Regions from separate parts of the Mus musculus genome. Here regions 2, 3 and 4 are each reported to be linked to region 1. Evidence: microRNA targets listed by miRTarBase, many of them from high-throughput screens and not tested one by one. Region 1 holds a microRNA gene; each other region holds the end of a gene's coding sequence.
The links. Region 1 holds the annotated microRNA mmu-miR-690 (AAAGGCUAGGCUCACAACCAAA, at 1,972-1,993, shown strand). A microRNA usually pairs through its seed, bases 2 to 8, with sites in the 3' UTR of a target mRNA and lowers its output. Matches are read on the target gene's strand: a 7mer-m8 pairs with bases 2 to 8, a 7mer-A1 pairs with bases 2 to 7 and ends in A, and an 8mer does both.

Region 2: the mRNA of Shroom3 is a reported target of mmu-miR-690. Seed matches in the 3' UTR shown: 7mer-A1 at 1,094-1,100.
Region 3: miRTarBase lists Madd as a target of mmu-miR-690. Seed matches in the 3' UTR shown: 7mer-m8 at 2,312-2,318.
Region 4: miRTarBase lists Gpcpd1 as a target of mmu-miR-690. Seed matches in the 3' UTR shown: 7mer-m8 at 1,992-1,998.

What each region holds. Positions count from the first base shown.
Region 1 is chr16:28,598,783-28,601,932 of GRCm38, reverse strand. Mir690 (microRNA 690) reads left to right here and starts at 1,890; the gene lies at 1,890-1,998. It also overlaps a transcript of Fgf12 not described here.
Region 2 is chr5:92,963,986-92,967,135 of GRCm38, forward strand. It overlaps Shroom3 (shroom family member 3), which reads left to right. Exons shown (of 11, transcript NM_015756.2): 11 at 371-1,774. The coding sequence ends at 739. Among named protein-coding and RNA genes, the nearest start is that of Gm36764, 44 kb to the right of the region's middle.
Region 3 is chr2:91,135,762-91,138,911 of GRCm38, forward strand. Madd (MAP-kinase activating death domain) reads right to left here. Exons shown (of 35, transcript NM_001177720.1): 34 at 2,948-2,994; 35 at 1,599-2,640. The coding sequence ends at 2,536. Mybpc3 (myosin binding protein C, cardiac) reads left to right here. Exons shown (of 35, transcript NM_008653.2): 33 at 1-161; 34 at 343-380; 35 at 482-755. The coding sequence ends at 353. Among named protein-coding and RNA genes, the nearest start is that of Mybpc3, 19 kb to the left of the region's middle.
Region 4 is chr2:132,528,027-132,531,176 of GRCm38, reverse strand. Gpcpd1 (glycerophosphocholine phosphodiesterase 1) reads left to right here. Exons shown (of 20, transcript NM_028802.3): 20 at 435-2,095. The coding sequence ends at 624. Among named protein-coding and RNA genes, the nearest start is that of 1700026D11Rik, 39 kb to the right of the region's middle.

The DNA of each region.
Region 1 (3,150 bases):
TTCCCATCCCAGCTTCTCTCCAGGTCCAGTCCAGCTTCGTCTCCAACAGTGCCAAAATGTACCAGCATTCAGGTAAATCTGGCAAGATGGTGTTCCCAGCCTGTTAGAGAAACCCCTCTGCAGGTTTAGCTGTTGGGATCTAAAATCACAGCATACAGGGACCAAATGCTCGTGTCACTGCCTGCACAGTAATGGTCAGAACCTTGTGTCTATTAAGAAAGACTCTGTCTCTGTCTCTGTCTCTGTGTCTCTGTCTCTCTGTCTGTCTTTGTCTTTCTCTTTCTCTATCACTCCTCCTCTCCAAAGTTTCACTCTGTAGGCTAGAATGGTCTTAGGCTCACAGTAATTCTTGTGGCTCAGCCTCTTGAGTGTTGGGATTATAGGCATGAGCCATCATGCATAGTTGAAAAATAACTATTTTTTTCTTATGCAGAGCACAACAACAATACATGCTTGTATTTCAAAATGGAAAAGTAAAGTCAGAAATATAGAAATGTCAAACCATTTATGATATCAAAATCAGAAAAGACATAGTAATGATTGTATGATGATACACTAATAACCCTCCCCTGATGCCTAATAGATTTGAGAATTAACGTGTATTTCAAAGTTCATACTAAATTATAAGCATTTCTCCCAGGATAGGAAATGTTCTTAAAGGAGATCCTGAGTGAGGTAACCCAATCACAAAAGGACTCAAATGATATGTACTCACTGATAAGTGGATATTAGCCCAGAAACTTAGTATACCCGAGATATAAGATACAATTTGCAAAACACATGAAACTCAAGAAGAAGGAAAACCAAAGTGTGGACACTTTGCCCCTTCTTAGAATTGGAAGCAATCACCCATGGAAGGAGCTACAGAGACAAAGTTTGGAGCTGAGACAAAAGGATGGACCATCTAAAGACTGTCATATCCAGGGATCCATCCCATAATTAGCCTTCAAACGATGACACCATTGCATACACTAGCAAGCGTTTGCTGAAAGGACCCTGATATAGCTGTCTCGTATGAGGCTATGCCAGTGTCTGACAAATACAGAAGTGGATGCTCACAGTCAGCTATTGGATGGATCACAGGGCCCCCAATGGAGGAGCTTGAGAAAGTATCCAAGGAGCTAAAGAGATCTGCAACCCTGTAGGTGGAACAACAATATGAACTAACCAGTACCCCGGAGCTCTTGACTCTAGCTGCATATGTATCAATAGATGGCCTAGTTGGCCATCACTGGAAAGAGAGACCCATTGGACACGCAAACTTTATATGCCCCAGTACAGGGGAACGCCAGGGCCAAAAAGTGGAAATGGGTGGGTAGGGGAGTAGGAGGGAGGGTATGGGGGACTTTTGGGATAGCATTGGAAATGTAATTGAGGAAAATAGATAATAAAAAATATATAAAGAAGGAGATATCTGATGGATTTGATTGAGATTTTAATAACAATAATAATAATAATTTTCATTTTATCAGAGACTTTGCAAATGAAACACTGGACATGAGACATCACTCAGGTCTGAATCACTCATAACTCGTCTCCTCTTCTTTTCTAGCCAGTCTTTTTGCAGTGAGATACTTGTGTGGTTGGGGGTCACCACAACGTAAGGAACTGTCTTAAAGGGTGATGGGATTAGGAGGGTTGCGAACCACTGAGCTAGAGTTAAGCTCTCAGGCCTTAAATTTCAGCCTAAGGCTGAGAGCTGGGAAATGTGCAAGGTTTGGAGTCGGTAGAATAGCAGCCTGGGTGATGATTATCCCTTGCCTATGGTAAGAAGAAGTGGACAAAAAACTATCTGTCAAATTATAAGACAAAAGACTGTTTTCTATTTGTGGTTTATTTTCTTAACCTGAAGGCCACGTTGATTCTTCTGTGTTTCTTTTGTTTTGTTTTGTGTTTTTGTGGAGCTAATTGGCTGTATTAAAGTGCTAGTAAGAAACATTCTCCTCCAGCTGGAGAGATGGCTCAGCTGTTAAAGGCTAGGCTCACAACCAAAATATAAGAACCACTCTTCTCCTAAGAGGATGTTAATACGTTTCTTCAATGACCTGGTTTGTCAGGTGATTAAAAAAAATGGCTATCTGAACTTCAACAACAACAAAACCATTTTATTTTATTTTGTGTGCACACAGATGTGTGAGGCTTCACAGTTGGAGGTCAGAGGACAATTTTTCAGGAATCAGCTCTCCCCTTCCTTCGTGTGGGTTCCCAGGACCAAGCTCAAGTCACTGGGCTACAGAACATGACTTTGTTTCCCACAGTCAGAAAGACAGTACATTTTCTTCCTTCTGTCTACAATAGATCATCTTTTTATTGCTTAGTTTGATTTTACTATGTGGACATGCCTGTTAGTTTATCGGTGCGTCTCCTGCTCGTTGTACAAGCTCTTTGTTGCTGTGTAACAGATTTTCCAAACTGCAGCTGTTTAAAAAATAAGTATCCATTCACCCACTAACCATTTCCACAAGAGAAATGTTTGGTGATAACATAGTTAAGTGCCCCTATTATTTTCCATGATAATGAGATGCTGGCCAGGTTGTTCTGCATCTGAAATCCTTTGGAAGTTGAGCTGGACTGGAAATTTGTTTCTGAAGTGGCACACACCCAATCCTCAGTGCATAGTAGGTGGTCATCAAATTCATGTGGCTAGAGCAGTGGTTCTCAACCTGTGGGTCATGACGCCTTTGCATATAAGATACATATGATTCATAATGGTAGCAAAGTTATAGTCATGAAGTATCATGAGATACTTGTGTGGTTGGGGGTCACCACAACGTAAGGAACTGCCTTAAAGGGTGATGGGATTAGGAGGGTTGAGAACCACTGAGCTAGAGTTAAGCTCTCAGGTCTTAAATTTCAGCCTAAGGCATTTTAATGTATTTTCTTTCCTATATATGGTAAGCTGAAGAGAATTACTGTTTGAATGGAGATTGCTGATAATTTACACTTTCTGCTTTCATTGACAAGAAGTGACCCATTTCCCAATGGAAGGAGAGCTACCAAAATAACTTGTGAGTTCAGGTTTAGGGACTTGTCCATACTATAGAAGTAGGGCAGACCTGGTGGAGTTGTGTAAAAGCACCCTGTGCTTCAATCTCTGTGTCTTAGGGACGTAAGGGCACGCCACTCATCACATTTAGGTTTACAGACCTG
Region 2 (3,150 bases), not on the chromosome of region 1:
CCATGTGGGTGCTAGGAATTGAATTCAGATGTTCTACAACAGTCAGTCTGTGCTCCGAACCAGGGCTCCATCTCTCCAGCCCCCTGCAAAGTTTTTATTCAGCAGATGGAGAGGTGGGGCACAAAGTACTCAGAGAACTTGAGGATTGGCTCAGTAAGTGTAGAGCTAAAAAGGGCAGGTTGTTACCACAGCCATTTACCCACCACAGAGTGTTCAACATAAGGAGAGAAAACAGATAGTAATAATGGCTATAGGTACATCCATCCATCCTTCGCACTGTTGAGTAGAGCACTGGTTTGCAGCCCTGTGAGAGGCAGGAGTCTGCCTCCTTGTCTTATGGCTGCCTTACCTGTTCATTTTACCCTGGCAGAGTTCTCTGAACGAGAAAAGGAAGGTTCTGGCTGGCCAGCATGAGGATGCACGGGAGCTCAAGGAGAACCTGGACCGGAGGGAGCGCGTGGTGCTGGATATCCTGGCCAACTACCTGTCCGCCGAGCAGCTGCAGGACTACCAGCACTTCGTGAAGATGAAGTCCACACTCCTCATTGAGCAGCGGAAGCTGGATGACAAGATAAAGCTGGGCCAGGAGCAGGTCAGGTGCCTGCTGGAGTCGCTTCCCTCGGACTTCAGGCCCAAGGCAGGGGCCATCTCCCTCCCTCCAGCCCTCACCGGCCATGGGACTCCTGGGGGGACATCTGTATTCGGTGGTGTTTTCCCAACGTTGACCTCTCCTCTTTAATCGCTCCTGTAAGCCCTGGGCAAAAGCTGCCACTCTCACCACTGTTCAATCTGAAAGCGATTTCACTACAAACTGCGGTTTGAGTTGTGGGTTACTGGGGGCTTCCTGAGTAACAGGAAGAGGCTTTCCAGGAATCTCTCTTGCCTTTCACGGTTGGTCTTCTGCGAGCTTGCACGCTCTGTGGAAGAGAGTCGGTGACCTGCGGCCTGATGGAGGGTGTCTGGCACGGGTTTCCCCAGGCTGAGGCGGCGGAGATGGGTGTGTGGCACCCTCAGGAATGTATCCACAGCGGCCTTCCTTGCTGGTGGGCAGTGCACCCTGATACCAGGGCACAAGTACCAGTCTGCAACACAAAGCCTTAAAAAGACACACACACACACACACACACACACACACACACACACACACACACACGTTAAGAAAACTGTAAAACCCCTGAACGTTTTTGTTATTTATATTTTTAAAAATGAAAAAGATCGTTATGTTTGTGTGCTAACCACTTACTTGATTCTATTTTGTGGTGGATGTAGGCAATTATGTTTGAGCTTTGTATTTCGTGAAAACCTTAATGAAGAATTCCAAAGATAGTCAAATTGAATATGGAGATTTTTGCGGGTTTTTCTTCTGCTCGTTTTGTGTGTATCTGCTGTTGGGTGGCTGTGTGCGCCACAGTAGGTGTGTAGAGTTGTACAGCTTTGTGTGGGTTCCGAGGCCTGACCCTGGGTCATCAGGTTCTCCCATCGCAAGTCTCTTCACCCACTGAGCCCTCTCTCCAGCCCCAGTCAGACGTTAATAAAGATGGGTGGCCATTCTGCACTTGTGCTATGCTGTGAGAGGTCCCAGTTTCCATGGTGATCGGGCCTTGCCACGTTTCTCCAGGAGGACGGCTCAGTGGTGACATCTCGGGGTGTGTTCCTCCTTGACCAGTTTATTCACAAAGACAATAGTTCCCAAGCCTGTGAGAGATGAGTCTAAGCCAGTTCAAAACCGAGTCCGTGCTGCCATCGTAGAGGAAATACACTTACTAAGCGACACAGTCAGGATGGTTTAGTATTTTTTAGAAGCTGGTTTTCCTAAATGTCAGACCTGCAGGTCATGAGAGCTGATTTCTATTGTCAAGTTTCAGTGAAAGCAATTGAGGGGTTCTGTGGTACAAGGTATAAGTCTACTCAAACAAATCAGGATGCCAGCGGGGCTGCAGATGTCCCAGGAGCCAGGCTGGGTACAGCCACTAGAAAAAGTAAGAGTGTCATGTTTTGGGCAGGTGACACACCACAAACTTTCTGCTTGTTGTTGACTTAGAGGCCACCCAGAAGTTTCTTGGCAGCCGTCAGCCAAAGCTCTGTTCTGTGGAGCTTATACACCGTTCAAGTGCTCTGACCCTGACAGGGTTCTTTTCTAATGCTCCGTTCAGAGGGGCCATCGTGACTCAGGAGGCCAGAGAGAAAGCCGTTTAGCAGCCACATTGCACTGCAAAGTTATTCTGGAGTTAATACTGTACGCCCAACTGACACTTCGTTAGATGTGGACCAATCAGAAGCCTGAAACCCATGCCTGTAGGTAACTGTCTTTCCCAGCCAATGCCTCCAGATGTTCTTAGTAAATGCCTTGGAGGAATTTTGGGGCTCCCAGAACACAGCACTGTTTAAAGTTACTCTTCAAGGACAGTGAGGTGGCTCAGCAGGTAAAGGTGCTTGCTGCCAAGCCTGAGAACCTTGCGTTCCATCCCTGGAACCTGCATGGTAGAAATAGAGAACCCACCTATGTGCTCTGGCCCTGTGCACCCACACACACACATGCAGTAGGCGAAGGTGAGAGAAAGTGCTTGTATTACAGGCAGGAGTTCAATCATCAAAACCCATATAAACCCAGCAGGACATGGGAGGGCACTGGTAATCCAGCACCAGGGAGGTGGGGACAAGCACACCCCAGCCTTGCTGGCCAGCCAGCGAGAGTCCCTACCCCAAAACATAGGGGAGACAGCCTGAGAGAGGACACCTAAGGTTGCCCTCTGCCTTCATACGTGCAAGTAGAAACACTTGAGGATGACTGGGGTCAAACCACACATTGTCAAGATGACTTCTCTGACTTAGACACATAAGTAATTTCACAGCAGAGTGACAGGGAATATTGGAACATTGTTAGGCCACCACTGAAGACCCTCCAGAGCATGGCATCTGTTCTGTTGCTGTTACCAATATCCTTCCCCGGTTACAATGAAATGAGTGAGGTGCCCGTGGGACTGTGAAATCTGATTCACGGGTGGATGTGGTTGGTCTTCATTGGTGCTGAACTTGACCCCAGCACTTTGAAGAACCACTATACTTTCAAAGTAGATTTTAAATGCCTCCAAGTAGAAAGGCCTGCGTTTTCATTCCTTTTCAGTTCTCTCTTCTCACTATTTAAAAAAA
Region 3 (3,150 bases), not on the chromosome of region 1:
CCTGGATCTGGGAGAAGATGCTCGCTTCCGCATGTTCTGCAAGCAGGGAGTATTGACCCTGGAGATCAGGAAACCCTGCCCCTATGATGGTGGTGTCTATGTCTGCAGGGCCACCAACTTGCAGGGCGAGGCACAGTGTGAGTGCCGCCTGGAGGTGCGAGGTAAGGAGCCTTCTGGGCCAGGGCTTGGGAGAAAGCAGGACAGCACCATGGACCCTGGGCTTGGCTCTGCTGTCCTGGTTCAAGGAGTACCTCTGGCTGCTAGATCACTGGTCCTGACATGTTCAGTGGATCTTGGCTTTTGGAAGACTAGGGAATCACATGGTTTCCTTCCCTCTTACAGTTCCTCAGTGACCAGGATGGCTCCCCAGAGATGGCTAGGTACGTATTCCAAACCACCTAAGGCCAAGGGCCTAGGGTGGCTATCAGGAAATGGGGGTACAAGAAGCCACAGTTCATCCACAAGGCAGCCTATGTCTCAGGTACAAATGGATGCCAGGCTGTGTACCAGACCGGAAGGGAGTTGGAGGAGCACCCTTTTCTGCTACTGCATGTGTGTGTGCAACTGTGCATCCTGGAAGGACTGGCCAGCAGTGACACCAGGCAGGTCTGCTGGGTTCTGAAGAAACTGACCCTAAGGATAATGTTAATACTGGGAGCATAAAGTGTGTGGGCTTCAGAAGTGGTGACTGGGGACAGGCCCTTTTGGCTGGCTCATTGTGTAGGAGCAATAAAAGATCTGTGCCATTCCTGGGGGTTGATGTCTCCTGTTCATGTCCATGGGAAAGCATACAGCATTCGCTTGGTCACCCCACTCTCCAGTTCAGTGTCCTGGACTTGTGGGACATCAGCACTGGAAAGGATGTCAGCCTCCCTCCACCCTCATGCTCAGGTGAGGAAGTGTGGAAGTGAAAGCCGTTGGAGGCACAGGCATATGGGCCTCATGCCAGTAACCCAGGCAACACCAGCTGGGTGCTATACGGGGGACAGGGCAGTAGAGCCCTGTACTGTATTAGACATCAAGACTCCAAGAGCCCACAGCTCACGACCACATCTCATGGGACAGAGTGACTCCATGCAGCTCAGACACAGGAAATCACAACCTTCTCTGACTTCCTCCCAAGAGACCACATTTCCTTACAAATCTTGTGGCCGGCAGGTCTCAGAAGTGTCATGGCAGTGTGCTGGGTATTCTGCCCACAGGTGCCAGGGTTTCCCATGGCATAGATAGCCCATGAGGGTTGGACATGGGTTACCACTTTATTTTTTACAGAACCCTGGTCCGAAGGCCCTTGGGAGGCCCAGGTCACCACAGCACATCTGAACACACGTGTACAGGGTCACAGAGCAGTACCCCTGTTTTCCTGTGACTTCTTTATCAAGCTGTTCAGGTGTGAATGCCCAAGTCACCTCCTCTCTAGTGCCCAGAACATCTCAGGACTTTACAGCCGTAGTGTCGTAGGTGTTCCTTTCTGGCACCCCAGGAAGCCCAGGAGGCAGGAGGCCAGGGCAGGCTCTCAGTATGCCAACGCTGGATGCAGATGAGCTAGGGACAGCCTTCCTCAGGCCCGGGCTGAGAGGAGTGCACAGGAGCCCAAGTGGAGTTCAGGACATTTATTTCACATCACACAGCTGTACATTTTTCTATAAATAATGTGGAGCTGAAATATTTACATTCTCCTCCTATCCAGTCCATAGCTTTCTTCTGGCACTGAAGCCAGGAGACTCTGCCTGCAGACAGGCGTGCACTCTGGGCTCAGCTCAGCCCTGACCCACCTATCCCCGGCCCTTAGGCAGAGCAGCTGGTGCTGTCTGGGACACCATCACCTCATTCCTCCGTCCTCTCATGCCAAAGGCCAGGAAGACCACTGCACAAATCCCAGCTCGGCACATGGCAGCCACTCAGGGACACCCATCGATGGAGCTGGGGCAGGCAGCAGCATGACATGCACCCACAGTTTAGAAACTGTGAGGAAGCAGGAAGGTCGCCCACCACTTACTGAGCTTCCTTTGAACCTCCCCTCCTCCTCCCAGGCCCTCAGCCAGGAAGATTTGTCCCCAGGTGTCTTTCACTTCCCAGAGTGGAACTGTCCCAGGTGCCCCACAGTGCCAGATCATAGAGGACAGAGAGAAGACTCCTAAACTGGAGGATATAAGGACTAGGACAAGGGACCACAGTGCAAACATCTCAAGGACAGGCAATAGTGGGCTCACAGTGACCCCACAGACACACACACCACACACACCACACACACACACACACACACACACACACACACACACACACACACTCTGGAGCCCTGAGGGAACAGAAGGCTAGTCTGCTATTGTAGGAAGAGAAAGTAATGAGGCTAGCTTAGCCCCGTGACAGATGAACACAAAGACACTCAGACGTAAGAGAAGACCAGCTAGACCGTGGGAAGGAACTTGCTGAGAACACACACACATTCCCATCTCAGTCCAGCAGCTTCGGTGCTTAGGAGCAGCAAGAGGTGAGGGGAGACCCCTGGGCTTGGCCAGCTGTGGAACCCTTCTATCAGCTAGAGACAGGCCGAGGTGGGGTTCGAAGGTCTTCTTCACTGCTACGAACTGCGGCCACATACGAGAAGAGACACAACACAGAGTAGCAGATCTCGTGGGCCTGCAGGGAACAGAAGACCCGTTGGATCAGCCACACTGAGACTCCTTCTTAGGTAGAGGGTCAGCCTAGAGTACGAGGCCTGCCCTGACACTAGTGCAGGCCCCTGGGCTGAGTGAGCCTCAGGCAAGTCTCTGGAAGCCTTTCTCCTGAGAGAGGGGGGTCAGCACATGTACCCCAGATGAAAGGTGTGTTTGACTTGAGTTGAACCCCTGGCATCTAGTCCCCCGCGAGGGTCCACCCTTCTTGCCGGAAGGTTCCCAGGGAGCCCTGCGTGCTTCGGCCTGCTGTGGCTGGGACGCATACTCACCATTGGCGTCTTGTACTTGTGGCTCACCACTTCTTTAATTTCAGGAACTAAAACCGGACGGGCAAGAGACAAAACAGAAAGTTCAAAACTAAGAGCAACAGGGTCCTACTCCCCCGGGCGGCTGCGCCCGGTGCCAGGCTCCCCTTCCCTCTGTAGCCTCTCACAGTGGCTGTGGCGGCTTAGGCTACGATAGAACAGAGCTC
Region 4 (3,150 bases), not on the chromosome of region 1:
CATGACCCTGTGTCGTTCATTGCATATATAGCTGGTCTTTGTCTGTGAGCAGGCCTCACCTACCAGAGGCTCTTTCTGATCTCTGGTCATTTGTGAGTTAAGTCACTGGGGACAAGTTTCAGGGCTCAGGAGGTTTTCCTCCTGTAAACTAAGGCATCACCAGTTGTATACTTCAAGAATCACTAGAGCACTACAAATTCCATTTTCTGATTCAAGGAATTGTTTTATGACCGGGGTTACAAAAGAACAGTCTATTCTGAGAATTAATTCACCTAATGCTTTGATCTTTATCATTATCTTAAAGTAGAATAAAATACAATAAGAATGAATATTCCAGGTAGTTTTAAAATGGATTTTCTTAAAAAGTTAAGTCAGACAGTCCTTAATAAACATGAAATTACATTATTCTTATTGTGTGTCTGTTTTCACCATAGGATATATGATTGGATGCCTGAACAGCCAAATATATTCCAAGTGGAGCAGTTGGAGCGCCTGAAGCAAGAATTGCCAGAGCTTAAGAACTGTTTGTGTCCCACTGTTAGCCACTTCATCCCTTCTTCTTTCTGTGTGGAGCCTGATATCCACGTGGATGCCAACGGCATTGATAGTGTGGAGAACGCTTAGTTCACAGTGCACAGAGGACATTTAGGGGCACACCGCTGCCCTCATGTTTAGTTTTCACCATCGAGCACTGCTGTTGCCTCTTAGGTTTTTCAGTCCAATGAAGCAATAATGAAGTATTTTACTATTTCATTACAGGTCCCGCAAGAATATCAAGTATGCTATTTGTCACTTGTCCAGGTATAATTACCAATCAGTCTCTGTACAATAAGAAAATATACTGTTAAACATTTCAGTGAGATATCTAAGCCTATAATGGTGAATCTTCATTAAAAGTTGGAAATTAACGATATAAATATCTCATACTTAAAGTTCAGGCTTTTCATTTGATTAAGTCTTAAATCTTCAGTGCTTGAGAAAAATGATTGCATAATTATACCTGACCATGGAAAAACTAAGTACCTCAATGCATGCATTTGCACTGGTGGCTCCAGCTGCACAGGTCTGTGTCATCCATGTACATAGGTATCTTTACATGGTTGATAGGAACACGCACCATTTTCCTTTAGTATAAACCTCAGATTGCTGCCATTTCTCACCTGACCCAAGCCAGCCTGCAGATGAACCTCAAAACTTGTCTCATAAACCATTCAAAGATATTAAAGTTCCAGAATGCTGCAGGGTAACTTAATGTATAAAGTATTTGTAAGAAGTATATATTGCATATATAGTAGTGTAGATCAGAAGGTATCAATTTGACTCAATGCATGCTTTAGGTTTTAAGCATGAGATTGTACATGTTTACTGTTAAGTCCTTGCATCTGGTGCTAGGTGAGGGAGATGTTAAGGACATAAAATATTTTGTCGCCTAAAAAACAAAGTCTGTTTTAGACACTTTGAGTATGCTTATTTAGTGTCTCACTACCTAGTAAACATAAGTGTCTCACTACCTAGTAAACATAATTGCTGTGTGTTGCATAGTAGTTAAATTCCCATGCAGAAAAATAAATGTCCTGAATTCTCAAATTGGTATTCTTTATTGTTTAATATATATCATGTATGTAATTTATTTAGGAATGTAGATCTTACTGTATATAAATGCATGCTTTTAGGATTATACTAAGATTTCTTTAGAAGCAGATTGTACTGATAAAACTGTAACTTCAGAATGAATGTTAAATAAAATGACAGATTTATTTTTTTCCTCATCTTAAAATGAAATTTCAAGAAGGTATTTTGTAGAATGGTTTTATAATGGTATTCTGTCTTACAAATAGAAATTTTATTCTGCTTGTATGGGCCGACTCACCACACTTTCTCAGTGCTCCTGCTGAGGCAGTTTGTGCATGTATTGACAGAAGTTAAAAACATAAGACTTGAGATGACAAGTTGTACTTTTTTTTTTCTTTCAATTTTTGACACAACCTGTGTAGCCTTGGCTGTCCTGGAACTCACTGTGTAAGCCAGCTGGCTTTGAACTCTCAGATACATCTGCCTCTGCCTCCTAAGTGGTATTAAAGTCATGCGCCACCACCTTTGGCTTCCTGATTTGTTCTTAACAGTGCAACAATGGGGGTTTGGGTCAGTTCTTCACTGTGGGGAGATGGGGTCAGAAACCCTATGGTATTGTATTTGTAACATGATGTTTAGTGGAGCATAGTTTAGAAAATGGTCTTCTACAAGGGTATTTCTATATACTTTCCCATGTTGAATGAATCTTTAACATTTCCACATAATCAGGTACCTTCAGAAAATGTAATTGACTTTCTTCATAGACCTGTGTACCGTGTGGTGTGCTCCCTTTGCCTCTCTAGTTTTGTTCTGTGGCCATTCCCATGTATTTTCCCTCCTAGCTCCATTATTGTGTGTAGGACAGAAGAAAAGCACAAGGGTGCATCTTACAGAGGACTTGGTAGGGACTGGGCCCAAGCAGTTTAGTTTGCTGAGAAGAGCTAGGCTAGTGTACCATAGAGCCTGACCACTGTCTTCTCCATTACTAGTTGATTAGACTATGTGAGCTAACCTAGTGCCTCCATGTCACTAGCTGTCACCTTTCCTCTACTCAGCCATGCTGTGACTAGCTCTGCACCACTCCATCTGTGCCTATATGTCCTTTGCTTGGAACCTTCCCCATCAACTGGCCCACACTCTTGCTGCCTCATCTAACTATCCAGTGCCAACACTTTTGAATATTTTACTACTCCTTATTGCATTTACCAGTGATCTTACAGAGCCTTGGGACATTCCAGAGACACAGTTGGCATTCATCTTACCAACTTTACTTTTATTTCCACAGTAAATGAAATGTATTTATTTATTATGAAAGCACATTTTGAAGTGGCTTACATTATGACCACTGGGATAGCTTATTGATGTCAGTTATTACATGCAGATGTTTAATGTTAAATTATTTTACACTTTCTGGAAAGTTCTATGATTCTCTGGCATTTGCTCCCTATACTAGCTCTGCTCAGTATGGAGGCAAGGCATACAGCTCCCTCATGGAGGTGGTGGTAAGGATTGGTCTGACCTCTTGTCTGTGAACACAGAGCTCATTGGACTTGTGTGTGGTGCAGGGCAACTTGCCAG